5 linked regions of the Kluyveromyces lactis genome follow. The protein of the gene in region 4 interacts with the protein of the main gene of each other region in a pairwise test. Links are inferred from orthologs where the notes say so. Each region holds a gene or a part of one and is shown on either strand. Other genes may lie near its edges.

The links.
Region 1: the proteins of PSY2 (region 4) and PSY4 interact in binary tests that used the Saccharomyces cerevisiae proteins (3 or more experiments, as listed by UniProt). The link is inferred for Kluyveromyces lactis from reciprocal best matches to the Saccharomyces cerevisiae genes PSY2 and PSY4.
Region 2: the proteins of PSY2 (region 4) and RRD1 interact in binary tests that used the Saccharomyces cerevisiae proteins (3 or more experiments, as listed by UniProt). The link is inferred for Kluyveromyces lactis from reciprocal best matches to the Saccharomyces cerevisiae genes PSY2 and RRD1.
Region 3: the proteins of PSY2 (region 4) and RAD53 interact in binary tests that used the Saccharomyces cerevisiae proteins (3 or more experiments, as listed by UniProt). The link is inferred for Kluyveromyces lactis from reciprocal best matches to the Saccharomyces cerevisiae genes PSY2 and RAD53.
Region 5: the proteins of PSY2 (region 4) and SPT5 interact in binary tests that used the Saccharomyces cerevisiae proteins (3 or more experiments, as listed by UniProt). The link is inferred for Kluyveromyces lactis from reciprocal best matches to the Saccharomyces cerevisiae genes PSY2 and SPT5.

Annotation. Positions count from the first base shown.
Region 1 is NC_006041.1:509,915-515,963, forward strand, and holds PSY4 (Psy4p), read right to left. Parts: upstream 2,631-6,049; coding exon 1,422-2,630; downstream 1-1,421. Other genes in the region: ubiquinol--cytochrome-c reductase subunit COR1, read left to right, coding at 1-581; RSM7 (mitochondrial 37S ribosomal protein uS7m), read left to right, coding at 3,571-4,365; KLLA0_E05765g (uncharacterized protein), read right to left, coding at 4,438-4,884; EDE1 (Ede1p), read left to right, coding at 5,167-6,049. UniProt on the Saccharomyces cerevisiae protein: Regulatory subunit of the histone H2A phosphatase complex, which dephosphorylates H2AS128ph (gamma-H2A) that has been displaced from sites of DNA lesions in the double-stranded DNA break repair process.
Region 2 is NC_006037.1:36,738-42,394, forward strand, and holds RRD1 (peptidylprolyl isomerase RRD1), read left to right. Parts: upstream 1-2,028; coding exon 2,029-3,090; downstream 3,091-5,657. Other genes in the region: IMP21 (Imp21p), read right to left, coding at 397-1,464; phosphoenolpyruvate carboxykinase PCK1, read right to left, coding at 3,593-5,224. UniProt on the Saccharomyces cerevisiae protein: PPIases accelerate the folding of proteins. It catalyzes the cis-trans isomerization of proline imidic peptide bonds in oligopeptides.
Region 3 is NC_006042.1:1,024,478-1,031,390, forward strand, and holds RAD53 (serine/threonine/tyrosine protein kinase RAD53), read right to left. Parts: upstream 4,094-6,913; coding exon 1,652-4,093; downstream 1-1,651. Other genes in the region: PAC11 (dynein intermediate chain), read right to left, coding at 1-189; DNA replication protein SLD5, read left to right, coding at 501-1,379; DGA1 (diacylglycerol O-acyltransferase), read left to right, coding at 5,682-6,913. UniProt on the Saccharomyces cerevisiae protein: Controls S-phase checkpoint as well as G1 and G2 DNA damage checkpoints. Phosphorylates proteins on serine, threonine, and tyrosine. Prevents entry into anaphase and mitotic exit after DNA damage via regulation of the Polo kinase CDC5.
Region 4 is NC_006040.1:1,587,442-1,594,324, reverse strand, and holds PSY2 (Psy2p), read right to left. Parts: upstream 4,242-6,883; coding exon 1,992-4,241; downstream 1-1,991. Other genes in the region: SPS19 (2,4-dienoyl-CoA reductase (NADPH)), read left to right, coding at 825-1,697; ubiquinone biosynthesis protein COQ4, read right to left, coding at 4,993-5,991; RAV2 (Rav2p), read left to right, coding at 6,369-6,883.
Region 5 is NC_006038.1:66,873-74,049, forward strand, and holds SPT5 (transcription elongation factor SPT5), read right to left. Parts: upstream 4,481-7,177; coding exon 1,370-4,480; downstream 1-1,369. Other genes in the region: MRPL39 (mitochondrial 54S ribosomal protein bL33m), read left to right, coding at 851-1,066; RAD33 (Rad33p), read left to right, coding at 4,798-5,328; ERV25 (Erv25p), read right to left, coding at 5,656-6,294; CYM1 (pitrilysin family metalloprotease), read right to left, coding at 6,789-7,177. UniProt on the Saccharomyces cerevisiae protein: The SPT4-SPT5 complex mediates both activation and inhibition of transcription elongation, and plays a role in pre-mRNA processing.

The sequences.
Region 1 (6,049 bases), on a different chromosome or scaffold from region 4:
TCGCTGCTGAAGGTGAACCTATCAATTCTCCACAATACTATGTTGCTCAAGTCGCTGCTGAAGTCTTCGGTACTTTCGTTGCTGCTGAACCAGCTTCCAACCTACAAGGTGTTAAGTTGATCGACGAAGTTAACGAATACCACTTGTGTGACTCTTTCGAACACTTCTCTGTCTCTTATAAGGACTCCGGTTTGTGGGGTTTCAGAACCACCATCACCGACCCACACAACATCGATGAAACTGTCCATTTCACTTTGAAGCAATGGAACAGATTGTCCATCTCTGTCACCGAAACTGAAGTCGCTCGTGCTAAGTCTTTGTTAAAGTTGAAGTTGGCTTCTCAAGTTTCTACCAACGCTGCTGCTGCTAACTTGTTGGGTGCTCAAACCTTGGTTTTGGGTGCTAAGCCAGCCTTGGCTGAAGTCTTCACTAAGATTGACAAAATTACCTCCAAGGATATTAAGGCTTGGGCTTCCGAAAGATTATGGGATCAAGATATCGCTGTTGCCGGTACTGGTAAGATTGAAGACTTGTTGGACTACGTCAGAATGAGAAACGACATGAGTATGATGAGATGGTAATCAAACTAAAAGCCGAGTCTTAAGATATTTTAACAATTCTTTTTATATTATATTCTCATTTCACGACGGTCATTCTAAAAACAATTCTCTCTTTTCTACTCGACTGAGTAGAATTACTCCCTGTAACATTTACTTTTGAGTTGTTATAACCATATCACTCGATGAGTAATAAGTTACAGTTTAATTTCATGTGTGTATATTCCCCCAAAAAAAGAAATTTGTCACGATCGATTTATATCAATATTTTACTGTTTTGGACTAAAGTCTAGGGTGTTTACTGGCGCATTCGATTTTTCGCTCTGTCACAGCTCCTCAAGATCAATACATTTAATGAACATAATGTATTTTTTAATTCCAAATGATATTTGAAAATTTAGGCTAAATCGAAATAAATCAAAATCTCGCTCATTATTCGTCGAAACAAAAATATGAGTTCAATGTCCTTATTTATGATACTGTCATTTACTGGTGAGCAATTGAATACATTTTAACCATCAAGACTTTCTCTTGAGGTAATCTGGAAATTGCGGTATTCAAGTCATCCTAAAAAAAAAATTCAACACTCTACTTTCTATATCGAAACCTGAAAAAAAACATCAAATTATTATAATTAATCCTGTCTGAAATAACCTACTGATATATTCATTTGATACTAAGAAGAGTGACCTTTATGTTTTCCTTGTATCACGGGAAATATTAATAAACTCTTTATTTATATTTATTTCATATGTATGAAAAAACTAACTGAATTCTTAAATTAAGGCCTTGTGTTTTTATTCTGTATCTAACATAATAGCGTGGAACTTCTTGATGATAACTGCGTAATCATGCGCTGCATGATCACATTCTTTTTTTGTCTTGCAACGGACTAGTAGATAACTCATTTTTTTCCGCTTGAGTTACTGAATTCGTTGTATCTGGAGAAATGAATGTATTTATCCTTGAATCATCGTTTCTGGATGGATCCTCCTGATTAGATACTACGGGGGATACCATAGATGACGATGATCCAAACTCGTTCAAGGGCATTTTACTTTTCTTTGGAGTTGTTATGAAGCCATCATTCTCCTTGGTTTCTTTGTACTGATAATCATCCAACTCGGTGACATTTCTTTTCCTCGAAAGAATGCTTTCATTTTCATCTTCATTGGCCGCGTGTGAACTGACGGATAAAACGCTACTTGTTGAAGATAATCGAAGCTCTTCTTCGATAGGAACGCCATTGTACTTAAGCTGAGTGTCCGTAACATCTGTATGTGCATTATCTTGGTCATCATTTTCTGCTATCTCGCCTATAGAGATGTCGTCACTTGCATCCTCTTCCACCTCTTCTGCTTCCATTTCGTCGACGTCACTGTCGTTGTCTTCGTCTTCTTCATCTTCTTCTTCATCTTCGTGATCCTCATAGTCCTCATCTTCGAATTCTTCATCCATTTCCTCGTATTCCTCGATGAGCACATCGCCATGGTTATCATATCCACGACCGATGTCATGATCTGTACCATCTTCATTGTCGTCGTCGAAGTCATCATAACCAAAATTTACAGCCACTATAGTTTCAATCTTCGAAATAAACGCCTGCAAAGACTTCTCATCTTCTTTATTCGTGCGGATCCACTCAATAGGTATCAGAGAAACATCTTCCATTGGGTTTGTGTTTGGACACTCTTTGCCCAGCCTGGGTGTCCAATCAGTATTCACCAAGCAACATTTCTCCATGGCCGACACAAACTTTTGCAAACTGTGCACAGGGAAATATTGTAATGGATGGTAAGATAATTCGCATATCCGTTGAATCGTGAACGGATACTTATCTCTTTTTGCAAATTTCACAACAAGGTACCTCGATAGCTCTTTCAATCTGTGTAAAAGGTCTTCCTCTTGGTCCTCGTTATAATTGAAGATCTCCTTCGGTATCGTTATGCTGAAATGTTCAGATAGCTGTGGGATCAATTGCGAAGGCGATATTTCGTTAAACGCGCTTAGATCTTTATCGATAACTATTTTAGTCAAACGGTCGTATAGATGTCTGGATTTTATTCCCATCATATTGACAATGTATCTGATTAATGAGCTGATAGTAGGAAAGGCTGGCAAAAAAAAAAAAATTCTACGGTATAGTAATATTACACTTGGTTAGATCTCCTTGAAATGGCACTAACGAAAGATCGGTGTTCTCGGGGTATTCTAATTAGCACAAATAAGTCCAGTATGAGCGATGCCTTTTTTATTCCAAACTGGCAGATATAGAATAGATAAAAAGGATAGTCTCGGAAAATAATATGAAACAACGGACTTGTAACACCTAGTCCCAATAGACAGTACACGGTTAGCCAATCCCAGCTCAGCCAGCAGCCTTATAAAGTTCGTTCTCTAGTCTGTTGATTGACCGTTCTATCTTTGTAGCTTAGAAACCTACATGTTATTTGAACAAATTTCTTTTATTTATCATTTCACATAATATTGTGCGCATATAACAAATTTCACCAACTTTTCACGTAACGAAATGTGATATTATTTAAAGGATTTCACTTAAGAACGGCAGGAATTTTAACACTTAAGTACGGAAGTTCTAAAGATACTATAGTTACATACCTGAATACAAAATAGATCAACGACATCTTTACTATAATATTAAAGGCTAAGGTGTCTAATAAGGTACAGTCTATATAATATCATTAATTATTCTTGGCAAGCTTGTGCTCAATGCACTGACAGGCAAAACTACCAACGGCACATAGAAACAGATCATTAGTAGTCACGTGTATTTATGCGGGTAACACTGTTCACACTGGCTCATCTCTGAACCTTTGATCAAAAAAATTTACGATTTTCAAACCAAATTCAATATCATCATATTCTGGTGAAGTAAGCTTGAATTTGGATCTAATGAGAGTTACTCTTAGATTGAATAGGTTCTGGTTGTATTGTGTGTGTCCTTGTGTGGTCCTTGTGTACACTGGCATCTATTCAACGGAAATTGTACAGTATGTTGAGAGCAGGAAGGTTTAGTCTGAGTCACGTCCATGCTAACGTTTTGGCAAGAAGTCCACTTGTACATGCTGCCAGTATACCGACCATGCAAACCAGATTCCAAAGTCAATCTGTGAATAATAATGCGTCTACAGGGGAGAAATTAGCTAGCCTTAGCGACGAACAGGTTGATGAATGGTTGAAAGTTATTGGATCGTTAGAAGAAGAGTTTTCGCAACAAGATTATAACCCAGCTACGTCCCTTGCACCAGGTAACCAATCTAGAATTAATATCTTGGAGAAGGCTATGGAATTGAACAAGCCCAGCTTTGAGCCAAGTCAAGAGCAAATAAATGAATGGGAAACGTTGAAGCAAGTTCCCATTCCAAAAAAACAGGATCCAGTTTTACAGCATGTAACGAATATGATTATGAGACACGGGAAAAGAGAAAGAGCTGAGAAGATTCTTTCAAGAGCGTTATATATTGTGTTCTGTCAAACAAGGAAAGACCCGGTAAAAGTTTTGAAAGAATCCTTGGATGTGTTGGCGCCTCTTATGGTTATCAAGACCTTCAAGACTGGTGTCGCAAAGGCCACTGTGGTTCCAGTTCCATTGAATCAAAGACAAAGGTTTAGATTAGCTTGGAAATGGATTGTGGAAAGTTCTGTGAAGAGATCATCGAGCGATTTCTCAGTAAGACTTGGTGAAGAATTGGTATCTGTCTTCAACGGTAATAGTTCAGGTTTCGAAAAGAGAGACTCTATTCATAAGACTGCTATTGCACACAGAGCTTACATTAACCTAAAATGATCAAAGTTCCAACCTCCACTGTATTTACTTGAATAAACCTGTACATATGTATACGTGAAATATAAATGAACGTTATCGATTTTCATAGTTATGCTGAATTTGTTGCTCTATCTTATATGCAATTCCTAGGCCCAGCAGACTTCCCGAAAAATTGGCCAAAATATCGTTTACATCAAAGGACCTTTTTCCTCGTGAGAGGAACTGTTGTGCAAATTCACTGCTCGTACTGGCACATACGCAGCATACAATAAATGCCAATAGATATTTGTTCATGGAAAAAGGTTCGTACGCAGCCAAATTCCTTGATCGTAGTCTTTTGGGGATGAATGCCGGCAACTGTACGGTATCACATTCAAACATCATGGTAAACAGAACGGTTTCAATGCAAAATACTATGCAATGGGCGAGCTTATCATGAGTTGATGTTATTAGCTTTAACCTGGCATCAGTAGTTAATCCGAGGAAGACAACAAAACATACACTCGAGAAAAATGTTACTGCGTATTTATATCTTATCATTTATCAATTTTCATAAAAACTCTCAATAAGAGTTGCATACACTCTACACAATTTCTAAATGAAGTGATAAACTCAACTCTCTCATCGCATTGGAAACCTTAATCCTACATCAATGCTTCACTTCTTTATGCGATCCGAAAGTCATCTTGCACGATTATATAGTTTCATCATCTTTTTGAGATAATTGAATAACGACAAATTGGATCAAATGGTCGAAACCCCTTTCGTGAAATATAGCCGATAAACTGCAACAGATACACATCCACCACGCCTCTGGGAACCATGTCAGGTATTGCGTTCCGTGTACCCCTCACTAGTGAGGAAAAGCAAGCATTTTCCCAGCACTTTTCTCGGTTAGATAGAGAACAATTGGGAATTGTGACTGGAGAAGCTTTAAGACCTTTGTTTAGTCAATCAGGGTTAACTCCGCAACAGTTGTCGCAAATATGGACCATTTGCGATACCGAAAACGCGGGCTTCTTAACTGTTGATCAATTTAACGCCGCTCTAAGAATGGTTGCGCACTTACAGGAAAATCCAGGTGCGCAAGTTACTTTAGAATTGTATCAGACTCCTGCTTCGAAGCTCCCTTCATTCGGACAAAGTCAAAAGTTCAACTCTGCTTCTACACAACCATCTATCCCACCACCATCAAATCAGTCTCATTCTGTCCAGAGAGTCCCCTCTGTTATCAATAGATCGGTGAGCAGAACTAATACGGGTTCGTCGCCAACTTATTCCGTCATTCCTGTATGCACTCCTCATGATTATGCCAAGTTTGCCCAATTATTTGACAGATCAACGGAAGAAAGCGGTTTCCTAGCTGGTAATAAAGCAAGAGAAATCTTCCTTAAAGCAAAGTTACCAACTCAAACTCTAGGTACTATTTGGGGGTTGTGTGACAGGAGCAATAGCGGAAGCTTGGATAAAGTGGAGTTTGTTATGGCGATGCATTTGATTCAGCTAACACTACAGCAAAACGCAGCCGTTCAAAACTTACCTTCTACTTTGCCAAATTATTTGTGGAATTCTTTGAATAGTACAGCATCTTCTACTCTGACTCCACTGAGCGCCAATAACACAGGCTTCTCTTTCACATCTGGCAGTGGATCTGTTGTCAGAAATCCGGGAATTATCAGAAAACCTTCTTTGTCCAGACTTCCAT
Region 2 (5,657 bases), on a different chromosome or scaffold from region 4:
CAATAACTCACTCTTGCGCGCTAATCCGAGCTTGCTGCATGTCATCCGATATCTCCCGAGATACACACTTGGTGAAAATTGGACAAGTAAATGTCTCGTCTCCATCTCCATGCCTTTTTTTTTAAATTAGTGTTTTCACAATCTTCGGATCCTGCTATTGGCTTTCCCCACAAATTTTGGTTATGTTGCTGCTCCTTCTCTTCAGTCAATAGATGAACGAATTTCGTCCTAATTACCCTGTATGTTTGCCTTAATTTTTTCGTTCAGCAGCAGTAGCATTTGTTATTTCGTTTCATATTGACAATGGCGTTTTTACTGATCACGTGTATTAAGTTTTAGTTTACGTTTATATATGTGTGTATAGTAACGGCTATATGCTTGTTGAAGTAGTGCATATCAGTCAGCTATCCCTCTACGCTTTGATCTCTTCAATTTCTTCCGAATCACAAGCATCGGTACTGAAGTTATGAAATTTTGTAATGATGCCAACACCGTTTGCAACGGAATAATAATCGACGATGGCTGCAAGGAATGTGCCATCTCAGTGAGTAATTGTTTCGGATATGGATGGTACATTGAACATATTAGGACGTCAATTTTGTCCAAGGTTCCAACTCCATTGGTGCATTCGAATAAATAATCTATGTGATCGCAAATTCGATTCATTTGAAATAGCATATCGTTGGTATCGTCGTCACATTGGTTTATGATGTACAAAGTGTCCCCATTAGTGAAAACAGAACCGAAAGAGTAAACTAAGGCGTATATTTTCTCAGCAAAAGATTCATCCATTTGATCCAAGTAAACAACGAACGAGTGGCCTTTCTCGCTCGTTGCGGCGGTAATATTGTCTCCTTTGCTCATATGATAGACAGCTCTATGTATTCCGTGTTGAATTTCTTCCAATTTGATATCTCTTTTGTCTGCTTCTGTTTTAATCTCAGCATTCTTCGCTAGCCATGGCTTCATAGAGTCGAGTACTTGGGTAATTGGTGTAACAAAGTTCGGTAAAACTTTACAACCTAAATCATAATCAATGTGTTCATCAATTTCTATTTCATTCTCTACATCACTCACTTGTTCCTCCTCACTGACCTCACCATCGTCTTCTCTATCTTCTATGAATTCCTCTTCATCTTCATCTTCATCCTCGTCACCACCATTTTCTTGTCCTGGAGATACGCTATCTCTAGTGTTTCCTTTTTTGGCCTTCAAATGTAACCTTTCTGAAGGGTCCTTATTCAATATTGTCCACTTCAGGTAGGCTTGGTCCTTTATACTTACTCGACTCGCAGACCTTGATATCGATCTGCTTGATGATATGCCGGTATCTCTTGTCTTACTCCGGGACCTACCTCTTTGCTCTGGTTCCTCTATCTTTATAGTTGGAAACGCTGGAGGCGCAGCCAGATGCTTATCATCAGTTAGTTTCTTATTCAAAATACCTCTTCCAGGTTCTTCCATGTCTAAATATGTTCAATGGCTCACTTGTAGTATACTTTGTCTGCGACCGGAGATTGAAGCTAAGTTGATAGTTATTTCAATGATGTTGGATTAAATATTCGTCCTGTGAATTCAGTAGAATAGTATTAGCTGTGATACAAAAAGTTAAAATTATTTCACAGGTACAAGCTAGTGTCGCGGATAAAGAAAGTAAATGTGTGACTGGTGACTTGTATTAGGAATCTTTTCTCTGGTGTGAAAACATAGCAGTATAATCGTTTTTCAAGGTTATTTTGGCTTTTTATTTTTATCATATGTTTTCATATCACTTCACAATTTCAGTGCCTGTACTGCGAACGCTTAAAAAAAGTTAGAATTCTACAGACTGAAATGCTAAGAAAGGATATGAAATAGCAGTTTCTCTTGTAACTTTTGGGGAGGCGATCTTGAAAACTAATACCTTCCTTGTAGGACGTATCAAATATTGCATTCTAATTATTCTCCCGCACATATTTCAAGCTGCAAATATTAAATCGAGAGTTGTTATGATATAACGGTGATAAATAAGGGATAAGAAACTAAGAGATGGACTTTGATTATGAGAACGCCAAGTTCTCAATGCCAGAGAAAAGAATATTCGATAGTCAGGGTACCCTTGACTTCCAGAATTCAGTCGCAATGGTTAGAATACAATATCACTTGCAGAAGTATATTACGCTTTGTAAGGGCCAGCAGATACCAGATACAATCAAAGAAAGTTTTTTCACTAATATCGTAGTGGAACTACTCAAAAGGCTGTCTGCCTTGATAGACGAGACACCTCCTGAGAGAATGCATAGTAGATATGGAAACCTTTCATACAGAGATTGGCAAACGAAGTTTCAAAACCAATTGGAGAATTGGTTGCATGAGTTATTGCCCGAAAAGTACAACAACAGCATCATAGAACTTTCATATTACATATCTAATGCATTTGGATCGAAGGAAAGAATTGACTATGGAACTGGTCATGAATTGTCCTTTTTAGCTGTGATAATTTGTTTGGATATGCTAAAAATTGAAACAATAAAGGGGCCGGCGCTACTTTATTGTTTCAATTCATATTACGACGTGATTCAGAAACTAATCTTAACCTATAAATTGGAACCTGCTGGGTCTCATGGCGTTTGGGGGCTAGATGATCATTTTCATTTCTCATACATTTTAGGAGCCACTCAATTGTTAGATGTGAATACTTCTTTAATACCAAAGGATATTTCTAATACTAGATTGATGGAACAAAACAGCTCTAGCAATCTATTTTGCAAATCAATACGATTCATTAATGTCGTAAAATCGGGCCCATTTTCCAATCATTCTCCTCTACTCTACAACATATCAAGGAGTGTTCATACATGGCACAAGATGCAACAGGGTTTGATTAAAATGTACAAGGTAGAAGTTTTAAATAAGTTTCCAGTCGTGCAGCACTTTTGGTTCGGAACCGCATTTTTCCCATGGACGAGTTATGGTAACAATCACTCTTTGCCAATATATCAGCCTGCAGAAAATAACGACGATGCTGATTTTTTGACTGCAAACAATGCTACTACGAAAATGCCTCCACCTTTGAGTACAAGCACATCTAGGTTTATACACAGACGTTAACACAGCATATATGGGATGAGATTAAAGATCTATTTAACCTGCTTTTATTCTTCGCTTAAGGATGATATTAATGATTTAATTCCTCCCATAAATAAATAGTATATCCAGATTAAAAGATACTAAAGCGTATGTATGTACTATAACCATATTGATAAAGGCTGTTAGTGATAAATTAAAAAGGACGAAAGTAATAGAAAAACGAATGAGAAAAACCCCAAGATATCTGTAGAATTTTCTTGTTATATATGTAGTCGAGAAAAAGATAGTTTCTAAATGCAAGAATCAAATAATCCGAGCCAATGGTATGTGTATTATTGTTAGTTGGTTTTTTATGAATCTCAGAATTTTATATTAATAATAATGAACCGGCTACGGTTGAGATAGTCTGGTTGAAGGTAACGGAAAAAGTGAAACTATGTTGAAGAGAAAATATTACTCAATAATATTTCACTCTGCCTCTTTTCGTTATTTTGGTATAGCACTTCTGTTGAGGACATTGTGATTATAATTGCGGACCAGCAGCTAAGACTTGTTCGGTAGCCTTATCTTGGTAGGTCTTGAAGTTTTCTACAAACAAATTAGCCAATGACTTGACATTTGAAGTGTACTTAGCTTCACCTTCAGCCCAGTTCTTACTTGGATTTAGTAGAGAAGCTGGAACCTTGTCACCCACAGCCTTTGGAATTTGCAAGTTGAAGATTGGCAAAACTTCATACTCTTCCTTAGCCAAAGAGCCATCGTGGATGGCATCTAGGATAGCTCTGGTGTACTTCAAAGGACAACGCTTACCACCAGCAACGTAAGAGGAACCAGTCCAACCAGTGTTGATTAACCAAGCGTTAGCGTTATGTTCGGCCATCTTTTCAGCCAACATTGTAGCATATTTCATTGGATGTAGAGACAAGAATGGTTGACCGAAACAAGAGGAGAAAGTTGCTTCTGGTTCAGTGACACCTTGTTCAGTACCAGCCATCTTGGAAGTGTAACCAGAGATGAAGTGGTACATAACTTGGTCAGGGGTCAACTTGGATACTGGAGGCAAAACACCTGAAGCGTCACAAGTCAACAGGACAATGTTCTTTGGATGGTGATCAGCTAGACATGGGATTTTAGCACTTGGGATGTATTCGATTGGGTAAGCGCATCTAGTGTTTTCTGTGATTGTAGAATCTTCGTAATCAACTTCTCTAGTGTTAGGATCGTAAATGATGTTTTCCAAAACAGAACCGAACTTGATAGCGTTGAAAATTTCTGGTTCCTTCTCGGCAGACAATCCCAAACACTTAGCGTAACAGCCACCTTCAATGTTGAAAACACCATGATCGGACCAACAGTGTTCATCGTCACCGATCAACAGTCTATGAGGATCAGCGGACAAGGTAGTCTTACCAGTACCACTCAAACCGAAGAACAAAGTAACGTCATTATCTTGAATACCTTGGTTGGCACTAGAATGTAAGGTGAGGACATTGTGATTTACAGGCATCAAGTAGAACATCACAGTGAAAATACCCTTCTTCATTTCACCAGCGTATTCGGTACCCAAGATGACCATTTCCATTTGCTTGAAGTTAATTTCCACAGTAGTCTTAGAAGTCATACCGGAGGTATGTGTGTTAGCAGGGAATTGACCAGCATTCCAGACGGTGAAGTCAGGTTCACCGAAATTTTCTAGTTCTTCCTTTGATGGTCTGATCAACATGTTCGTCATGAATAAGGCATGGTAAGCTCTAGCACAAACCACTCTGACCTTGATTCTGTAACGAGGATCCCAGCCAGCATAAGCATCAACAATGTAAATGTGATCCCTAGTTCTCAAGTAATCAGCAGCTCTTTCTCTGTTAATTTCCCAAGTTCTTTCGGAACATGGCTTATTTACTGGACCCCACCAAACGTTATCCTTTGAAGTTTCTTCTTCAACGATACGCTTATCACGTGGAGATCTTCCGGTCTTATCACCAGAGTAGGCAATCAAGGCACCAGCATTGGAAATGGCTGTGTCTCTTTCTTTTAAAGCATCTTCATATAACAAAGCAGCTGGAGCATTACGTCTGATGGTGACGACTTCTGCAGAAAGGCCAAGCTCAGCCCTAATATTCTCTTCAGCAGAATTTTGTGTCTTAGTTGGTGACATTATTTGATAATAGGTTTTATTTTCTTTCTTTTTAGTCGCGCTAGAGGAAAAGTCGATAACACGGTTAATTGAGTATTCTTAAATGGAGAAGAGTCAATTTATCGTATAGTATGAATTTTGGCTTTACTATTAAAGTGCTTTCAATGTGTAGAATCACTGAATTTTGGGTTTACTTTTATTGCAATACAACTGAGATAATATATAGCTACTATTGTACCTTATCAACACTTGAAATGTATCCATCAAACTAAATCATGAAAAACCATCGCCCTTATATATGATCATAAAAGATGAATATTAATCAATTCACGATATGACAGGACGAGAATAAATAATTGCACTTAATTACTAGATGGATAATTGATGTTCCAGCGAGTTATCTGACTCATTCTAGGCGATTTCAGTAAACAAGAGTCCCTTTCTCCCTTGGTTC
Region 3 (6,913 bases), on a different chromosome or scaffold from region 4:
TGAGATCTCAACAGTTTTTACTTCTTTCTTGACTTCAGATTCGTTGTTATTTATGGAATTGGTGATATGGGAAATGAACGGAAGGGTACAATCTGCTATCTCTTCATGTTTCGAATCAATTTTTTTCCTTTGCAGCTGAAGAGCCTCTATTTTCTGCTTCATCAACTGTAAGCGCTCATTCTTGTCCATATTTCTGGGTATATTCCCCCTGAGGTTGGTGTTGCTGATGAGCGCTTCTTCACTGACGCGTTTTATCTTGCTTCATGTATGGATTTGTTAAGCGTAAACAAAAGATGATAAATAAGATTTGAGTATTATCAAAAATACGATGTTACAGTAAGTTGGATGAATTTCACAATAGGTTGGAGGATAACACATTGCAAGTAAGTCCTTCTTGTCTGAATACACCTTTACAGCAATTATAAAAGCCACCCCGGTGTACTATCCGAACACTTCCTCCGCTTTGAGTCCTGGTGGTAGGATCATATTTCTTTAGTACAATGAGCATTGATATTGACGACATTCTAGCTGAGCTGGATAGGGACACTACAGCTGTTGAACAAAATGCTTCTTCATACCCAGACCAAAGCGATCGAACTCAAGGCAATGATGTCTCTCAGATAAGACCAGCAGATAAGGCGGTTGACCCTGTGGCTCCCACACAGTTTAACAAAATTGACGACTATCAAAAGCTAATTACACATTGGAAGAATGAACGTATGAGTCCGGAGCTGCTTCCATATCCACATCATCTCATGACTAGGACATTAATAAGGATTCAAGAAAGAATTGAACTAATAGAAACACTATCAATGGGATACTTAGAAGATAATCAAGAGTTAACTGTCGATTCAAAGCTACCACTTTTATGCATGGAAGCAGAACTTGAGAGATTGAAGTTCCTAGTTCGATCTTTCATCAGATGCCGGTTAAGCAAAATTGACAAATACAGCATTTACCTAAGACAACAATCCGAACTACCCAATAATGCGGGCCTCAGCAGACTAGATTTATTGATGTCCAAAGAAGAGGTGAAGTACCATATGAAGCATTCTGACATATTACTAAAACTGTTTAACAACGCAGTACTTAAGCACTTACCAGAAGAACTGCAAGCCGTTAACGATACTGAGGGTTCCATCAGTATGATTGATGAACCCGATTGGAATAAAACTGTATTTATACTAGTTTGTGGTGGGGTAGTTGACGAAAGTGGTATTGATTCGAAATTAACGACCGATGATGATGGAAAACACTGTTACTCAGTGATTATTGAAGATTTAAATGAAGAAATTTACTTATTAATCGGGGCAGTATACGTAATACGTTATAGTGTAATACGAGATCTCATGACTGAGGGACGAGTAGTTTTAATATAATGAAAATTCTGAACAGTATTACTGAACCTATGACTCTTCGAAAAATATAGGTTTGTAACGAATGTTTGCCAGCAATAATTTCTCAACAATGTTATTGCGAACACAGCATGTTTTCTACCTAGTGTTATTGACTGCTGGTCTATAGTGCTTTTGAACCAATTTGTATTAGTATTACATCAATTAACGTTGAAAAGTCTATCTAGCATACTCAAAGTGTACCTATTTTTCATATTTACTGTATGCAAAACCCATCCGGCAAGCATATGATCAGCTCAGAGAAATCCTTCAATATCTGGTTTCTGGGCTTGGGCAAGCTTAGCCCTTTTGGTTGTCTGCGGTTGAGATTGAGATAACGACACTGAATGTATTCTTTTCAATCCTGTAGTCGAGTTCATCTCAACGACAGAATCTAATTCCTCGATATTTTGCGAGTTGGCATCTATGTTACTGGAAGAGGACTGGTTTATATTAGATTTGGCATGTTGTGATGATCTAGACTTCATAAATTCCATAAACTTAGGGACTAAAGCTAACTCCTCCTGTGTCTGTTTATGTAGAAGTGTCTTGTTTGTTTTCTCATTGGTATCCAGCTTCCCCTCGTGGAACAAACCAGTGGTATCATTGAACTCAAGCTGGAAAGAAACAGTGACATCATTGATTTTATCCCATATAATTTGGATTTCATCGCCATCATGAAGTAAGATCTTTGTGCCCGGAGTGATTTTCTTTCCATTAACATAGCTTGAGTTAGTACCACTTTGGCAATACCATACATCATCAAGACCTTGAGCTGGAGATTCATAAATACTGTCACCGACAGCGTGTCTTTTCTTCAATATGAAGCAATGTATCCTAGATAAACGATTATCATCAATTTTACAGTTGCATTCGTCTGACCTACCGATGAAGAATGGATTTATCCCTTGTTTTACTTGGACCTTACCTGAAATAGATGAGCCAGGTAAGGAATGCAAAGTGAGAAATAGCCCCTCCCCATTGACCTTTGTAAGTGGTCTATTGATCTTTTTGTTCTTATTGTTTGAAAGTCCTTCTTCACCAGATTTATAATTAACATTAATAGCTTTACCAGTATTAGGATTTGAAAAGTTAAACTGCAAGTTTTGGGATTGTGCAATTTTAGATGGTGCAATTTGTGGTTTTTTGAATACAGGCTCTTTATTAGTTTCTGCAGCAGGCGCCGTTATTTCTTTCTTGATAATCTCTAACCTCTTTTTCGCAATGTATGATTCGTATTCAGCCTCATTCATACTGTCAACAAATTGTTGCTGGGACAAGGATTGTGAGATGGATATTTGTGACTGCATGCTATCAACGTATGCCATTTTCATCCATGGATGTTGCAGGGCCTTTCCTGCGTTCATTCTTTCTTTAGGGTCCACATTCAACAGGCAATCTATGAAGTTTCTTGCCTCTTCGGATATTCTATAATCCTTTAATGGTCCTTCATGATAAGAGCCCCGTTTTATTTGCTTGAACAATTCATTCTGAGACTGACCACTAAAAGGCAAGTGACCTGTAAGAATAACGTAAACTAGGCATCCAATTGACCACATATCAACAAGTGAGGAATACAGATCTCGATTAGTTTTATCTTCAGCATTTTTCCCGTCTATAACTTCAGGTGCAACATATGCTAGAGTACCACAAAAAGTGTTCAGGAATGTATTCTGATTTTGTACTTTTGCCAGGCCAAAATCGGTTATCTTTATAAGAACTGGATCGTCTTGCTCTATCATTATATTATCAGGTTTCAAGTCTCGATGGCTAATTCCTTGATCATGCATGTATTTTACTGCCTCTAAAACCTGTCGTGTTATCTCTCTGCCGGCATCCTCGCCTACAGTTCCATGGGCTGCTACGAAATCCATTAAATCGCCTCCGCTGACAAACTCCATCAACATGTAATAATTATCATTGTCTTCAAAAAAGTCCTTAAGTTTAACTATCCTGGGGTGATTTAATTTCTGCAATACATCTAGTTCCCTCTTCACTCCATCAAATTTATCCATTACTTTTCTCTTATGAATTATTTTGACCGCAAATGTTTTGCCTGTTGACCTTTCGACAGCTTTCTTCACAGTAGCGAAAGCACCTTGACCAACAATCGAATCTGATATCGAATAGTATTTGTGTATTCCTTTTAATTCTGTATGTCCCATTGATATCTGATATTTGCTCTTTGAAGATGAAGCAGGTGAAGTCACATCCTTCATCATATTGAGTTCTTTTAGTCTATTTTTGAAACTATCGTTGATGAAAATCACTAAACTAACGACATCGCTGGGAACGCCGACTCCAACACTTATTTCATCCCCTTGGGTCAAGATGTGATTCGTATCCTTTTGTATCCTCGCTCCATTTAACCATGTTCCATTGGTTGATGTATCCTTCAGCATTAAAGTTCCTTCTTCACCCAGCATTAGCATAAAGTGTCTGTTGGACAGTCTTGAAATATCCCCCAGATAATAATCACATCCTTGGTTTCTTCCAAAGGTCCATGTTTTTTTAATTGATGATTCCTTTTTGAATATACTTTCAGGTTGAACCTTCAAGTCCCGTAGACTTATTTGACCAGTTGTACATATTACTCTGCACACCACATCGTCGTCTATTTTCTCCTGAGAAAACTTATCTATTAGGTACTTCTGTGTAGCCTGAGTGGCTTGTTGTGTCGGTTGCGTTATATCATCCATGTCAATATCTTCGTTTGCACAGCAATGATCAGTTGATCTCTAAAGAGGCTGGGAAAGGTAACGGCAAACCTCAAAGGGACAACTTAATGCCTCAATATAGAACGATTTTCACAAGTGTGCTATTCTATAGTCGGTTGTGACTGTGTATACCCACTAAACTGCCAACACAAAGCTAATGAATAATGGAATAAATCGTTCTTTCATAATGTGTATGATCGCTTTTGCAATTCAAAGATCCAGATTATTTCAGAAAAATGTCAACCTTTAAATCGCGTAAATATTCGATGAACATTAAATATTACAATGACGCGTAAAAGTACATACATATATACAAAGCCAATGATCAAAGATGGATCAGTCTTTACTCGGCACTGCTACAACGTTGGAGTGGGAATTTGAGTAAATAGAACGGAATCATTGATAGAAGTTCTATTATGGCACATTGCGGCATCAGGTGATTGGTGCCGAATCTTCTTCAGAACTATGTGAAGCCGGTTTATACTGCAACAATCCATATGGCATCAATTAGTAAATACCATGGTTGAATAACTTGTATCAGCTGTTTCTTATTCTAACTCCAGTCATGCTACAAAGACTTTAAAATCTTTACTTATCAATAGATGGAAGTAAAGATTATAAATCGATATGGTTGCTATCAAGCATAACACTCCGAATTTTCAGAAATTCTTTGCATTTTGCTCATATAACGTTATTGTATTTGAACTGTTAGAGCCTTTTCTTGAAAAAACTAGGTTCTATTCATGTTTAAAACATTCGTTAAGACAATTCCCCATAACCGATTGAAGAAATGATATATATAAGTTTTCGTTTTATTAATACTGCAATAATGTCCTTCAACGAGATAGCTATGTAGTAAAATTATATATCAGCTTTGATCTACTGGTGAAGGTTCAAATCATACCGTCAACTTTAACCGTAATGTTACGGTAAATAACAAAATCGTAAATTATTAATCTCACATACCTCCATAACGTTATGTTAAGTTTCTTACCATTCTATCTGCTAATTAAATGACCTGTTCCCAGAATCAGGACTGGATAAAAAGTCTACTACATCCGTTAGTTTTTCCCAAGGAAACCCTTTAAATACAAGAGCCGGGCTCAGTAGTCTTTCGCGTCAGATTTTGAAGTCTATTTATATTTACTACTAGTTCATAAATTGGACATTGTATAGGAAAGATGCATTCCTCTACATAATATTTTTGTTAAATTAACTACCCATCATTACTTCCCTAAAACCATGTAAACTGATAGGTATGGTGCATACCAGTACAATTGGCAACAGCTTGCAACGTTAAGATTCAGTGATCTCAATTAAATTACGATTTTGACAGTTTTATTTTAAGGGAAAAAGTTGCTTTAAAACAGGAAAACGACATCAGGCAATGTTTTGCCTCAGTAAACAAAGATACAATTAATCGACAAAAGCTGGGCAGGTTCATTTTTTGTTGAACTTGAACGTCTAATATCATTTACTTCTGAGAATAGACGTAAATATCAGCTTATCTGTTTTACTTTGAGAAGGTTCGCTGCTAGGTAATTAAAGTTACTTCGAGGCTTGGAACAAGATGGGTAAGGAACAAATCAGAAAGAGACAAACTAAAAAGGTACGCAAGGGTTCACAACCCGTGGCAAATGGTAAATCTTCTGTAGTAGGGGTCTCCAAAGATGGGAAACCAGAATTTTGTGCTATTGATACGCCCATAGAAAGGAGACTTCAAACTCTCAGCGTAGCATGGTATGTCGAATGTATTCCGTTAATGATCATCATAATGTTGTTTGTTTGGGTTAACCCGTTGATGTGGTCGTTTGTAATACCATACACCATTTATTATTTCATAGACCGGACTGCCTCCAATGGGAACGCTGTGAAGAGACACTCCAAGTGGTTCCGATCTCTAAAGGTCTGGTTTTATTTCCGTGATTACTTCCCTATAAGTATGCACAAAAGCACTGAACTCGAGCCAACATTTACAAGTATTGATTCCACAGAGCTGGAAAATGATGCGAGTGAGCCAGGCTACCTGGATAGCTCACAGCCCGTTTTACCAGATAAATGGTGGAATCCTTTCAGAGAAAAGGATGAAACTGTTAGACCAACAGGACCGAGGTATATTTTTGGCTACCATCCACATGGTATAGCAGCATTCGGAGCGTTTGGAGCATTCGCTACCGAGGCATGTAATTGGAGTAAAGTTTTCCCAGGCATTCCAGTGTGTTTGCTTACTTTGGTAAATCAATTTCAAATACCAGTGTACCGTGATTATTTATTGGCCTTAGGCATAACATCGGTCGCTAGAAAAAATGCTATGAAAGTACTTGAGAAAAATTATTCAATAGCCATCGTAATTGGAGGTGCCAGTGAATCCCTTCTTACTAACCTTGGTTCATCTGATATCATTTTAAGCAAGCGGAAAGGTTTTGTGAAGTTGGCTTTGCAAACTGGGAATGTGAGTCTTGTACCTGTGTATGGATTTGGTGAAACTGATACTTACAAGATTCTGAAGCTTAAAAATGACTCTATAATAGGCAGGATACAGATATGGCTTAAAGAGAACTACAGCTTCACTGTCCCTCTATTTTTCGCTCGTGGTGTATTCAATTATGATTTTGGTTTACTACCGTTTAGACATCCAGTCAATGTTGTTGTTGGAAACCCTATTCATATTAAAGAAAAGATAGATCATCCAACAATTGAGGAGATTGATCATTACCATTCCTTATACATTGAAGAATTGAAACGTCTTTACGATGATAACAAGGCAAAATTTAACTATTCAGAAAAAACTTTAAATATAGT
Region 4 (6,883 bases):
CTAAAGCGTGTCAATACTGTAACAAATATCGAATGATTCACAACACAGATGCTGAGCCCTAATAATCACACTAGGAAGCAGAAGAAACACACGGGTACGTCAGAAACCACAACATTCACCGATTCGTTGATTCTCATGATAATAATCAACATGCTAAATTTCGATTTTCACCGGAAGGTCTAGATTTGAATTTTCATGCAAAGAGATAGAGAAAAAGCCGCCCATGCCCGGGTAACAAATGTTCTTCTGGCTTCGGAAATGAAAGTATTAAACACGAAGCCTGACATCCTGTCTCGAAAAGTTGCGAAACAGCTCGGTACCGGTATCATTACGTTGTTAAAGGGGCGATATAATGGTTGGAACTTGCGTTTTGTTTCTGGAGTGCATTGTATAAGAGTTACTGAACAACTACTAGCATTTTAATAAGCTAATTAGATCAATCAGTACCCGGATAATTTGTTACCCGGACAGAAAATACATCCTTCTCCGCTCTTTATTCAGCAGCTGTAACCTGATAATGCCACTTCTCTATGGCAATTATATAGTCAGACTTGTTAAGCCCGTAAGTAGAAGTAATGATCATCGAATTCAAATGACTCCATCTCCAACTAGGAAGCTAAAACATATTCGCAACTTAGGGGATTGCCCTTTTCTTAGGGTGTTAGTTTGAAATTATCTTCGCTGTGTTTATTGTATATATATATACTGGTGGGTAAATACTGCTAGGTCAACATTTTCTAGATTTAAGGGACATATACTTCATCACTTCGATGAATTGTGACAGGAATTGAGCATAGAGGTACGCAGAAACAGTATAAGAGAGAATGCCTAACACTTTAGATAAAACTTTTGTTGAGAATGGGCCGTGGAAAAAGGATACGTTCCATGGCAAGGTCGTGTTTGTCACCGGAGGGGCAGGAACGATATGCAGGGTACAAACAGAAGCAATGGTGCTTTTAGGTTGTAAAGCTGTAATCGTTGGTAGAAACCCGGAAAAGACGAGGAAAACGGCCCACGAGATTGGACAATTGGTCCATGATCCACACTCTTGTTTGCCCATTTCAAGCGTCGATGTCCGAAATGTGGATCAGTTGCATGAGGCTGTTAAAGTGGCCATTCAAAAATTTGGTAGGTTAGATTACGTTATCGCTGGCGCTGCTGGTAACTTCTTGGCGGACTTTACACATCTATCCTCGAATGCTTTCAAATCAGTGGTATCAATTGATCTTTTGGGTAGTTTTAACACGGTCAAGGCTTGTTTCCCAGAATTGGTCAAGACTAAAGGTTCTGTACTCTTTGTCAGTTCCACTTTACATTACTATGGCGTTCCATTTCAGTCACATGTAGGTGCTGCCAAAGCCGGTATTGATGCCTTATCAAATGCATTGGCTGTAGAAATGGGACCATTGGGATTAAGGTTCAATTGTGTAGCTCCTGGTGCTATCGCCAACACTGAAGGGTTGGCACGACTCACTAAAAATGATTCGAGCTCAGATCTGTCAGAGATGATTCCATTGCAAAGGCTTGGCACAACAGTTGATATTGCAAACACGACAGTGTTCCTTTTTTCTCCTGCAGCTTCATACATCACCGGAACTATTCACGTCGTCGACGGTGGTGCCTGGCATGTAGGCACACAAATAACGAGAGAGTTTTATCCTAAAGAGTTGAATTATGCTTTTGATTCAAAACTATAAGAACCTTCTCCTTCTGGCTATTAGTTGACTAACGGAGAATCCATTGCACATTGTGATTGGATCATTCAAAATAGTAAATCTGTAACACACAGATCATATAACTCTTATTCTTTTTCTCCCATCTATAACTTCAAAGTCTTGTTTTTCAATTAGAGAATGCAAGATCTGACCTTGAATTGAATATTATCCTAGTTTTTTTAATACTTATCCCTATATAAAACAACAACCTCCTTCTTTTTAACCTTATTATTAATATGCATCTAAATGCATCACATCTTCAGATATATCTGAATGTCATACTTCAACTTCCAGTGTAGTATTATCATTTTCATCAAAGCTAGTTTCCGTTGTTGATAAACTAGCAAGCTTTTGGGTTTCCTCATGATAAATAGCCATCATTTCTCTTGTGAAAGAAACGTAATCTGCCTTCAGTAATATATCACCATATCTACCGCAGATGTACTTATTCAACAGCATGAAATTCCTTGAACTTTTACTACCGGAAAGCGGAATATCTTCCTGCTCAACCACTTTTAATTGAGTGTTTAACGACTTTAAGAAATCTAAAATTGTAGAATTAGCCATATTATCTTCGTTCAAATTTTCCTTAAAAACTTCAAATATTGGATCGAAGAGATTCTTACCAATAAGATATCGAAGATAGAAGTCGTCATTTAAAAATACGATGTTTTTGAAACAACGCACTGCAGCAAGCCTTAATTGAAGGATATAATCGCTTGAAGCAAGTGATATAAGCCTGATCAAAATTCCATTCTCGAGAATAAATCGTCTAGATATTGATGCCTCATGACCTTGAATCATGAGATTGAGAAGTTTCACAAGTTTTATGAGTAACTGTTGATCACATTCATAGAGATTAACAGATCCATCGATGAAGCAATGGAAAAGGGAGGGCGCAACTTGTCTATAGAAACATTGCAAGTACTCAGCTAGCTGAAATTTCTCGTGATTTCGTTCACCGTCTAATCCATCATGATTTTTGCCATTCTGAATTTGAAGCATGTTATCAATTCGTGTGTCGATATTGTCATCATGGTTTTGATAGTCATCTACAATATAGTCTTCAGGATCTAATAAACTTACAAGTGCTTGGAAGGACTGTTCCTTCAATCCCGGACTCTTATCAGTGAGCAGGATCTTGGTCAATATAAGTAAAAGAGACATATCTGTAGAATCAATATCTGAATTCTCGTCATTCAATAAGGTGACTTCGTCACTTTGCACACTTTGGATTAGTTGGATATCGTGTTCAATGAGCCCCACAACTATATCCGTTGCAAGGATTCGAATATCGTTATTAGTTTCCATGTTGAATGCAAATTGGATGACTTGGAACAACCCTTTCTTGATTAAAAATTTGTAGAAAAGGGTTTTTTCTATTGAATTTAGGTTTTGGGAAAGTTGGATGCATTCATGTAATAGTTTTATACCGTCCCTTCTTTTATCTGGGGTGACGGTTGAATCCTCCTCAACTTTATACATCGAGATGACTTGATTAATAAAATTGTTGCTATCCTCCTGTAGGAAATCTATTATGGAATTCTGGTATGACAACATTAGGTCAGATATGAAGGTGAAAGATTGATCATCCAAAAATCTAACTAGAACCACATCTTTCAAAAATTGAAGCCTAAAATTTTGCGTAATCATTAATTTGATCGTTGGATCTGAGATGGGAATCATTTCCTTGAAATTTGGCTCCTTATCTTTCAAATATTGTCTATGGTTAAGTTTTGAGTTTGGAAATTCAGTATCATATTCCAATATACCGCAAACGCATAAAAAGTTTTCATCATTGATCATCTCTTCCAAAATCTCCTTGCTGTTGAACAATATTAGAGTTTTCACAATGTTGCTCAATAATAATAAATTTCGATATAGTTTAGATTCTTCTGACTGATAGAATGATCTGATTAGTGTTGCTAAATAGTGATCGTTGATAACAAATTGAATTGTCTCATTTCGCAGATAATCAAATGACGTGTTTTCGTTTAGAATTTTCAATGCTTCTAAAAGGGATTCTTCTGTCTGGTTTGGTACATTTGAGGGAAGATTGACCGGTCCTGTTATTATCTCATGAACAGACCCGATTCCATCATCTGTCGATCTTACAGCTACCAAAGAGATGCGGCTTTCAATGTTTTTCTGTACAAAGCAAATATATTCACATAAAGAATCGCATCCAATGCTTTCTTCAAAGGATAAAGCTATATCCTGACCATTCAGATCCTTCCAGACAATAAGAGTTTCCTCTTGACGCTGGTATTCGATGTTTTGTTCGAGCCTGGACTTAAGTAAGACCTGGTCATCGGAGTCTTCATCGACCACCAAAAGATACGCCATTTTCTCTGCAGTCTGAGTGTCATCTATAGTACGCTCTTCCACTGTCCCCTGACAAAACCCTGTCCCAGTATCCTTCCACTCGTTATTTTCCAACACATAGACTTTCACGCGTTTCTTCTCAGTGTATACCGACTGTTTGGCACCATCCCCAGAAACATGCATATTGTTAGATTCAGACATATCTTATATTATGCTGATCGAAGCCCTAATAAATGGCAAGATCTCGTAAGCTCTTTCTGCTAATTGTGACCTGACAAAATAGGTTCAAAGTCTTGTAAGCAAAAGTTGCAATGCGTTAACAACCGAGTGAGTCCGAAAGAAAACTTGAATGTTTACACTTCGTCGAAAGCGTCAGTGACTTCTTCCAGTTAAAAAAAAAGGACAAAGAGGATTAAACACAAGCGCTATAAGAGCTTTGAAGTAACAGATTCTTGTATGTTCAATATCAGATTATCCTCCCCTTCCGCTTAAAACCCTCACAAGACACTGCTTCTCTTTTATTATGGGGTGAGATGAGATGCCCTGGTCAGAAGTCTTAAATTGGATAGTTTTTAACTTTGTTCTTTTTTTTCTTCTTCTTGGCCGCTAAACGCAGTGATAAGAAAAAAGAACAGTTTTAAGGCTGCAAAGCACACCGAGGGAAAGAGGACATCGTACTGAAGTTCGATCATAATTGTTTAACATACCGCGTTAGCAAATAAAAGTGTAGGCAGTGGTACTGTACGTAGCAAGGATGTTAGCTATAGATATATTTTTTAATCGATCAAGCAAAGGCGATCTTTTTCCTCTTCAATTGAAGACGTTTATTTCATTACGTACGTATTTCTATTTCTTTTTTCCTGGTTCCTATATCCACAGAATGACCCTGCATTATACTTTACAAAGCAACTTTACGCCAGCCATCACGATTTGGGGATTGAGGGTTTAAAATTCATTTCTCGTAGGTCTCATACTTAAGCTTGAACTGTTTTCTTTGTTTCGCTCTTTCCTTTCTAATTTTTCTCAAATCTGGAGGTGGTGTGACGTTTAATTCTCTTCTTAGTTCGTCTATGTCCTTATCCAAGATTTCTTCCCAATAGACATTGATGAGAGGTTTGCAATTCAGCCCTGCTTTGACTGCCCATGGGAGGTAGATGGAGTAAAGTCTTTCCTTTTGCACTTTCTTTAATCTCAATGGTGCTAATAGAGCACCAAGTGCAGCCATTGGGACACCAATGTTTGATGCCTCAAATGCTTTAACTGCAATCTCACCTTCGATTATGATTGGTAGGTCATTTATTGCATGATAAAAGTCATGGCATTGTCTATATCTCTTAAATATGAAAGCATGGACAGGATCATCGATATAAGTAACTGGTGCCCTTGTGTCTGGAGAGACCCCCTCTTTCATCAACCATTTGTAGTACGTATAGCCAACTGAATTTTTATCCATCTTTGACAATCGTTCCATGTCAAGGCTTTCCGATGTGATGTTTGGTCTGTCTTGTAGAATCCTTCTACCAGTCTTATCTAACAACATTGTCCGTTTTAAACTTTCAAGAAAGCAAGGTAGAGCAGTAGCTTCTCCTAATTGAACGATGTTCTCACCGTTCTCCGGGTGGAAATAAGATTTTAAACCACTGATACCGAAGAGCATCATTCGCTCATACCACCAAAGTGGAACATGACCCTCATAATTAGGTTCTATCGGTCTTGTGTTTCGTAATGCATTTAACCTTTCTTGAGTCCTTTGTTCCATCTTATGCTCATACTCTCCATTTTTATTATGCAGATTCCCTTTCTCCATAGCATCTGCTAGTCTAACATCTTTCCCAATCAATAGGTCTCCAAAAGCTGCTATTGCAGTAAATACGATTGTTCTCTTGCTATTATTCAATGGACTGAAAGCGTTACGACTTGCTTGTAAGGATTTCTTACTTACAGTAAACATTTGCGGTCGTCGTCTGATGCGTTTAATAGCACACTTTCCCTAATAATAAAAAGCTGTGTCCCGGAGTACAACTCGTCAATTGAGTCAAATCTAGAATCTGTGTAAACCTTGATCCTAATCCACGCCAGCAATTTCAATTACAACCACTTTACAATTTTCAATGATCTTCCTTTATCTCTAGTTAAAGTATATGTGGGTGAGTCGCATCAACTTCAAGAAAAGGTTTAAATTTGAAATATTCAGAAGAATCATCATACGAAAAAGGCAAAAGAATAGTAAAAAGGTTGACAAAGGAAAACGCCCATCTTAGCAAGGCTCTTGCTATCTACACGCTAAGGGAGCTTTGCTACATTAATTCTCAATTGCATAAATCCGAGATGACTACGGAATTATATAATGATGGGGCATATAAAAATGCTCCTACATATGAGGAGAGCTCTTTGTTACAACAGACATGGTTGATTAAAGAAATCATAAAGCCTGAGCTACCTAACGTTATGGACCATGTTGAGAAATGCATAAACCAACTATCTAGTCCTGAGAAATTTCGAATGCCTCTTACCAATGGGAATAGTGTCTCCGTTAACACATCAGGTGCCGCGCCAGACAGCACATCGATTAAAGGGACAATCACTAGACAGGCCGGATTTATAGTGGATTTTCAGGCTATCATTAAGCTTCCAGACTTTAGCAGGGGTAAACCAATAGTTCTAAAGATGGACCTTGATAAACAATTTCCCTTAGTTCAAATAAATGCCATAATTACAAATTTATCATCCGTATTGTCCTTATTTGACGAATTACAGCAACTTTCCGAATTACACGATATGAAACTTGATGATATTCATACTTTTCACAATAAAATTGGGAAAATATTGGAGTTACTTACACA
Region 5 (7,177 bases), on a different chromosome or scaffold from region 4:
ATCAACAATTAAGAAGCCCAATTCTGATTTGAGGTATGTCAAATATCCTCCTTTCAAGTTATGGGTCTGTAGATAATCTGATCGATATCAATTAATTCTCTTTGAAGAAAAAAACTTCGCACAGATGATAGTCTCAAATTTTTGTTTCAGTTCTTTATTGAAACACGTAAATCGGATACACTTGGCGCAGTATACTCCTTTCTTCTATCAAACAGCTGGATGAAACCCTATGCACCTTCTAGGGTCACCTTACCATTACGTTTATTTTAGCAGGTAACTTAGAACTCATTTGAATTTCCATTTTTTTCTCTTCTCTTTCGCTGATTTTGCCTCTGTCTCTATGCGATGAGCTTTGGAAAATTTTCAAAATTTTCATCAGTAATGTATATCGTGTTGCACGGGTGTAACAGAGATCCGTAAGCTCCAGCACTAATTAGTTACCTTAATTATACCGTACTGTGTACACCAATCAATTCAGTTAATACCTTCTTGTTGATAAAAGCGTAGAGTAACTATATGCGAATACTTAACTTGACTTGTGAATATGTATCTGTTTCACGTGATATGAAGTACGGATCATTTTTATGTATATTGCATATTCATCAAAACGTATGTAGTGATTTGACAAAATTTTGATTATCCATTACTTCTTCTTTAGCAATGTATCCGACCCAATCAATACTGAAAGTAGTGGGAGTTCATCAATTTCTGCATAGGACGGTGTATCATCGGAAAGTATTAAGGGCAGAAAGTAATATTATCCTGCGTACTTCTCTGTCTCAAATTCAAATTCAAGGAATTTCACAGAGCTAAGGATATCATATATAAACTGCAAACGAACAGGAAAACGATGGCCAAGGCTAAGACAAAGACTACAGTTATCAAACTGATATCAACTGCTATGACAGGTGTGAGCCGTCATGTCACGATAAATAGAGCTGCACCATTAGTGACGCAGGTGAGGTACGACCCTGTAGCTAAACGTCATGTTTTGTTCAAAGAGGCCAAGAAAAGAAAGGTTGCAGAGAGGAAACCATTGGACTTCTTACGTACCGCAAGACGTTAATGAATTGTATTTAACAATTTAACCACACCATTTGCATGTATATAGAAAACACTCACACTGCAATAACTACCGTTGAAATAGACGTGATTTAAGAGTTCTATAGTAGTATCGGTTTGTAGTAAAGAAACGAAATTTTTAACTAAATTACATTTACTTAATTCACTTATTTAATTGGTTTCTGAGACTAATTTGGGCAAGACTATATATACAACATCCACATCGCGTGGAGTAATTTGGAGATAATAAGATGAACAATTGATAGGTTTGTAAATTATCGTGAGGCAATAACTTGTATGATTATTTCTAATTATTTCCACCCCACGTACTTCCACCACCTCTAGCATCCTGATTACCCCAAGCAGATCTATTGCCGCTATTGTTGTGTTGGGATGCATTGCCCCATGCGGATCTCTCTCCTGAGTTATGCTGCGATTGATTGTTACCCCAAGTGGAACTTCCACCGGTGTTTTTAGATCGTTGTGATTTATTACCACTGCCACCCCAGGCAGAGACACCTCCCTGGTTACCACCCCAGGTAGAAGTACCTCCATAGCTTGATTTATTGCCACCGCCCCAGGCAGAAGCTGCTCCTGATTCTCCGCTTGCTGCCCAAGAAGAGGCGCCTCCATAACTAGATTTATTACCCCAAGTGGACGCACCACCCCAAGTTGATGTAGCACCTTGCCCACCCCAGGTGGAAGTGTTTCCAGCAGCTCCACCCCAGGCAGAAGCACCACCAGGGCCTTGTCCGCCCCATGTCGAAGCACCACCCCAGGATGAAGTTCCTCCGTTCTGGCCAACCGCAGGAGTTTTACCGCCATCAAATGCATTCCAACCAGGAGTCATTCCACCAGGAAGTTGTTGCGGAGTGTTCGTTGCCACCGCACCACCGGCAGCCATGTGTCTTGGTGCACTGACATAGCTTGGGCCCAATCTGGTATGTGGAGTTCTACCACGTCTACTAACAAGTTCATCGTATGTTATACCTTCACCACCTTCATGACTGAAGTAAGTAAGTTTTCTTTTGTCTATTGTAATATGCTTATTTTTGGAGTGCAATTCAATAGTAGCCTTATCTCCATTGACGTCTTTGACAATACCCAACTGCCCCTTGTATCCCGCAGAACGTATCCTAACAGTTTTGTTCAAAGCGACGTCACGGCCAACTAACCGCGTCTGCTGAGTAGTTTGTGGTGGTCCCATCTTAGACGCAATATTTGGATTTATTTTAGATAAATCCAATGCTGACGACATCAAGTTTTCTTTTGAGGCGACAGCCTCGACATTCATTGGATTAACAACGAAAACACCGGCATTTTCCGTTATTGTTTTCGATCTAATGAAAATATGTTGGTTTTGAACGTAGAGTACTTGTCCCTCTCTACGGGAACCGATCTTTTCTCTTACTACATCGCCAATTTTTATTTCTCTACCATTACCATCGACAGCAGCTACTTTCGCTCTTGCTACATTGATCTTGGCAAGAATTGAGCCTTTAGTAACAGTAGCCACTTTACCGGAGTCGTCAATAATCTTGAAAATATCATGTCCAGCCTGGATCACACATGCCACGTTTTTGGCACTTAACTCAACAATGTCATGTAGAGCGTACTCGCTTGATGTCGGAGTAGAATCCATAGATTTACTCAAGTTATTCGCAGAGATTGTCAAATTTTCTCTAGTTTGGTCAGAAACAAATGTGACTTGACCGTTCTGCACCAAAAGAACCAAACCAGCGTTACCTTCATGTTCACCAGCTATTACTGTGACATGGTCACCAAGTTCGAAAATTTTTCTTAGAGATGCAATTGGGAACTCTAATGATTTATCTGAAAAGCCCGATAGTTTAACGCTGATGACGTCTTTAGAACTTCTAGTCACCACACCTCTAGATCCACGTTGTTCCCCGGTCAACACTTCAACACGGTCACCTGGTTGAAACATAGCTTTAGAAGCTTGAGCTTTTTTCATAGTTTGAGCAATAGCTGCTAGATCGACATCACCTTCTTTACTGCCGAACCTTGATAATTCTTCCACCGTAGGTTGGATATTCTTTGTATCAAGATACTGAATCTTAAAAGATTTGAAAAGATAACCGTCAACATAATCTTCCTTCCTGTAAGTGAAGTGCCTGTCATCTCTTTTGAATAAGTTGGCTTGGTCTAACCTTAATGCCATAGTAGGGTTAAATAATTGAGGAGGAGGCCTACTAGCAAACGTTGCTCTCTTTGCCTTTCTCTGATTTGTATCTGGGTCGATTTCGTCATTTTTACCGTAGTCTAATCTGGGTACAATCTTTAATAGAGCTTCTAAGTTGTTCTGACTAATTTGATCAATGACTGCCAAATCATTCTTATAAATACCCCTTTTAATTCTAACATAAGAACCAACATCAAGTCTCACTTCATCTGACTTGGTAGGCTTTAATAGTAAAGGTAGTTCTTGCACGGGAATCAAAAGCTTTTGATTAGAATAGACATCTGGAACACCGTTGACAAATTTTTCGATAACAGATTGTTTTGGAGCTTCGATATAGATTCTTCCTGTGTAATTGTCTCTTTGGAAGATGGACAGAATCTTTAATTTTTTAGAGCCCATAGATTTATCCAAGTTAAACTTCTTATTTAGCAACTTTCTCACTAGTTCTTTCTCCTTCCCTGGTCTACAACGAACGGACCAAATAATAGCAGTATCAACACTTGGTAACATAAACCTCTGAGGTACATACCCACCTTGAGTTTGTACACGGTAATCTTTGGAAGAGTCACGACCATAACGTTTCTTGAAGTCTTCAGCGATCTTGTGCATGTCTTCATCCGCAGTTTTTTGAAGATTTTGATCTAATTCTCTATGCAGTCTGTCATCAACTCTACCACCACGATCCTCTTCGTCTTCTTCGTCACCGCGAGTAATGAAACCTTCACGAACTAGTTCTGAATCTTCTTCATCTTCTTCGTCGTCTTCGTCTTCACTGACTTCGGCTTCAATATCCAAGAATCTGTTTCTTTCACGACGTTGCTTCTTCCTATATGATTCGACATCTTCATCTTCGTCATCGTCATCGTCATTGTCATCGTCGTCATTGTCATCTTCATCATCTTCATCGTCTTTGTTTTCTTGACTGTTTTCTTGATTGTTCCCTTGATTTCCCCTAATTGGACTATCTTCAGTAGCCTCTGTCTTTGGTTTAGAATCAGTAGGAGCGTCCTTTAACTGATCGACAGATGCAGAGTTGTTTTCAGAACTCCCATCAACTTCATCGATAGTTCTTTTCTTGCCTCCAACCACATCTGTAGAATCAGACGAAGATGAAGTAGAGTTATGCTCCTTATCTTGACTCTCAACTGACCCAGAAACTGTTTCAGGTACAGAAACAGCCTCTGCTTTATCGGATTCCTCAGCAGTACCGCTCATGACGTCTTACTGACTGTTGCTTTGTATCGTGAATGCGAACTGTAATGCATACTGATCATCATTACAACTTAGCGTGGACTACCATTTTTGTATTGAAAATTGGGAAGTTTAGATTGAAATTTTTCAAGGATCACAAATAGAGGGTAACTCTCGCCTAAGTATTTCAAAAGTACTTAAGTAGCCGATGAATCAGTCTGCATCACTTCATAACGAACGGGCAGCTAGTACCTTATGTAGTCTTTAATATATAACATCAGCTCTGGCTACGTTAAGGACAATATTAACCGATGAGTCATTGCTGACCAGATAATGTAGTTATGCGGAAAAAGAATGATGTCAGTTATGACACAATTACCAGATGGAATGAGGCCAGAATGCCCACCGAGATTGAAGATGAAGTCCTATCGATATATTTAAGCTTCACCGAAGAAGGTGAATTCAAGTGGGCTGATATTTCTAGTTTTTATACGGAATTACAAATCAGTAAATCATGGTACGGATTATTAGAATTCAAGGACTTATGCTTGGATGGAATTGACGTCATAGATTTCGAAAAACTCTTGGATGTCACTTATCGACTCTTGATCTTCATGGACAACGAGAGTATAATAGATAAACAATGGGAACTACTATTAAAATATACCGGTAGATTGCAACAGTTCCCTAAGGTTGCACTAAGGAAGCACGTGATAAGTGTTAAAGATGTCCAGAAGGCTGCTGTTCAAGTGGATATGGATCAACATATTATCCTGTCAATGGTAAGTTGGGCTACGAACGGCGAGAGGGTATTTGTCACTTACCTAGACTTTGCCAAATTACTTGGTAAAATGGGTTTATTAAGATACTAGCATCATTGCAATCCACTAAATAATTCACTTCCTAAAAAACACGTCAATCTTTGGAACATTTGGAAGAATATCACTAGTAACTTAGTACAAAACTTATAAATGTAACTGGTGGCCATATCAACATAGAATTCTAGCAAAAACAAAGACCTACCCGTCTAGGCATAATATAATCCCTTTCCCCCTCTACTCGTCCGATTTAGAAATTATGCCATTTTCCATATATAGATACTGTACACGTATAAAAGGCTCACCATATGATGTATGTTTCTTCAATTCAATATTTGAAGATCGTATTGAGATTCAAGGCATTGAAACTATTCGAACATTCTAAATAATGTGCTTAGCTCTAAAGAAGTTCTTCATGTAGTTTACTTGCCATGCACCCAAAGCGACCAAAACAACGATGACAGCGATAGAAAAGTTTCTAACTCTTCTGTTGGTGGACTCGTTGGTGTCTCTTAGTCTTTCTTCTCTCCCCTTCAAGTAGTTGAATTCATCAACAATTTCGTCAGTCAATTCTTCAATCCTACGTAGTTCAACTTCCACCGGTTTCAATTTTTCACTGGCTTGAATCTTGTTCCAATCACGAGCCTCGGATCCGGATTCAATATCCAATTCAATGGAACGGCTCAAAGATCTACCGTTAACTTGCGCCACATTCTCGAAACAAACATCAAATGAGGTGGATTGTGGAGCAGTAAATACAACACGTACTTCTCCAGCAATGTCTCTATTCCTACGGTATTCGTTACCGTTACTGTCACGAACGTATAGATTCAACTGTTGACCATCACCAACAGAACCATCAGTCTCAATATCAATGAGCACTAATTGACCCTCACTGACAAAATCACGAATACAGACTTGTTCCGGTTTCGTAGAGGCTGGAATGTCGAAACGTACAGCAAATACTTGTTCAAAGAACAAAGCACATAGTAGAAGCACGCAAGCAGCAAAGCTCTTCATCTTTTGGCCTGTATATATATGGTTTGTCTCTTTGCTTCACTCCTTGACAAGTGTTAACACGGATGAGGTTCCTGATAGAATCAATTAGGAAACAAACGTAGCAACGTATCTTTTTGAATTCAGTTAGAATTAGATATACGTTTTTTTTTTTTTTAAATTTCAAACCGAAACCTATATATTTTATTATATTCTTCGCGATCTGAACTGTCGTGAAAATCAACCATGCAATAAAGGTGTTAAAATTCGAAGTTTTGATCTTTGGAAACCAAACAAATATAGAACCAACCATACGTAAAAGACGCGTTTTTTATGATGATTACACGTGATCGATATTGGCAGATGTTAAGTTTTATCAAGGAACAAGGGATATAACTCTGCCGTGTGCAAGTACGTCTAGGCACTGCGACGCACAATTAGTAATTGGGTATTGTGAGTTATAAATACATATATATATATATAATGTGGTTGTATTATGTACAAGAAAGAGCTTCCCGTTACACGGTTTGAACTAAGGCATCAAAATTTGGGATTTCCGGACCAACTATGGAGGCAATGGATTTATCTTGCTTGAGGTATTCCTCTGCCACTTGATGTATATCATTCAAGTTGACGTCTAAAAGTTGCTCTCTACGACGTTGTTTCATTTCGTCTGTTACGTCGTAATGGAATAAAATGGTACCTTCGTTTTTGGCGCTCATTGGGGAGTCTACTTGTTGGAAGACACTCAATTTCGCTTCATTCAAGTCTGGTTCACCCCACGAAGACTTGTTCAATATGAATTCTGGAACGCTATCGAATGTGGACAAAGAATTTAAAGCGTGAGGATCCCTGTAAGAATAGAAACTGAAAGTACCATCCAAAGCGCTGTAAGTAGCACCACCAC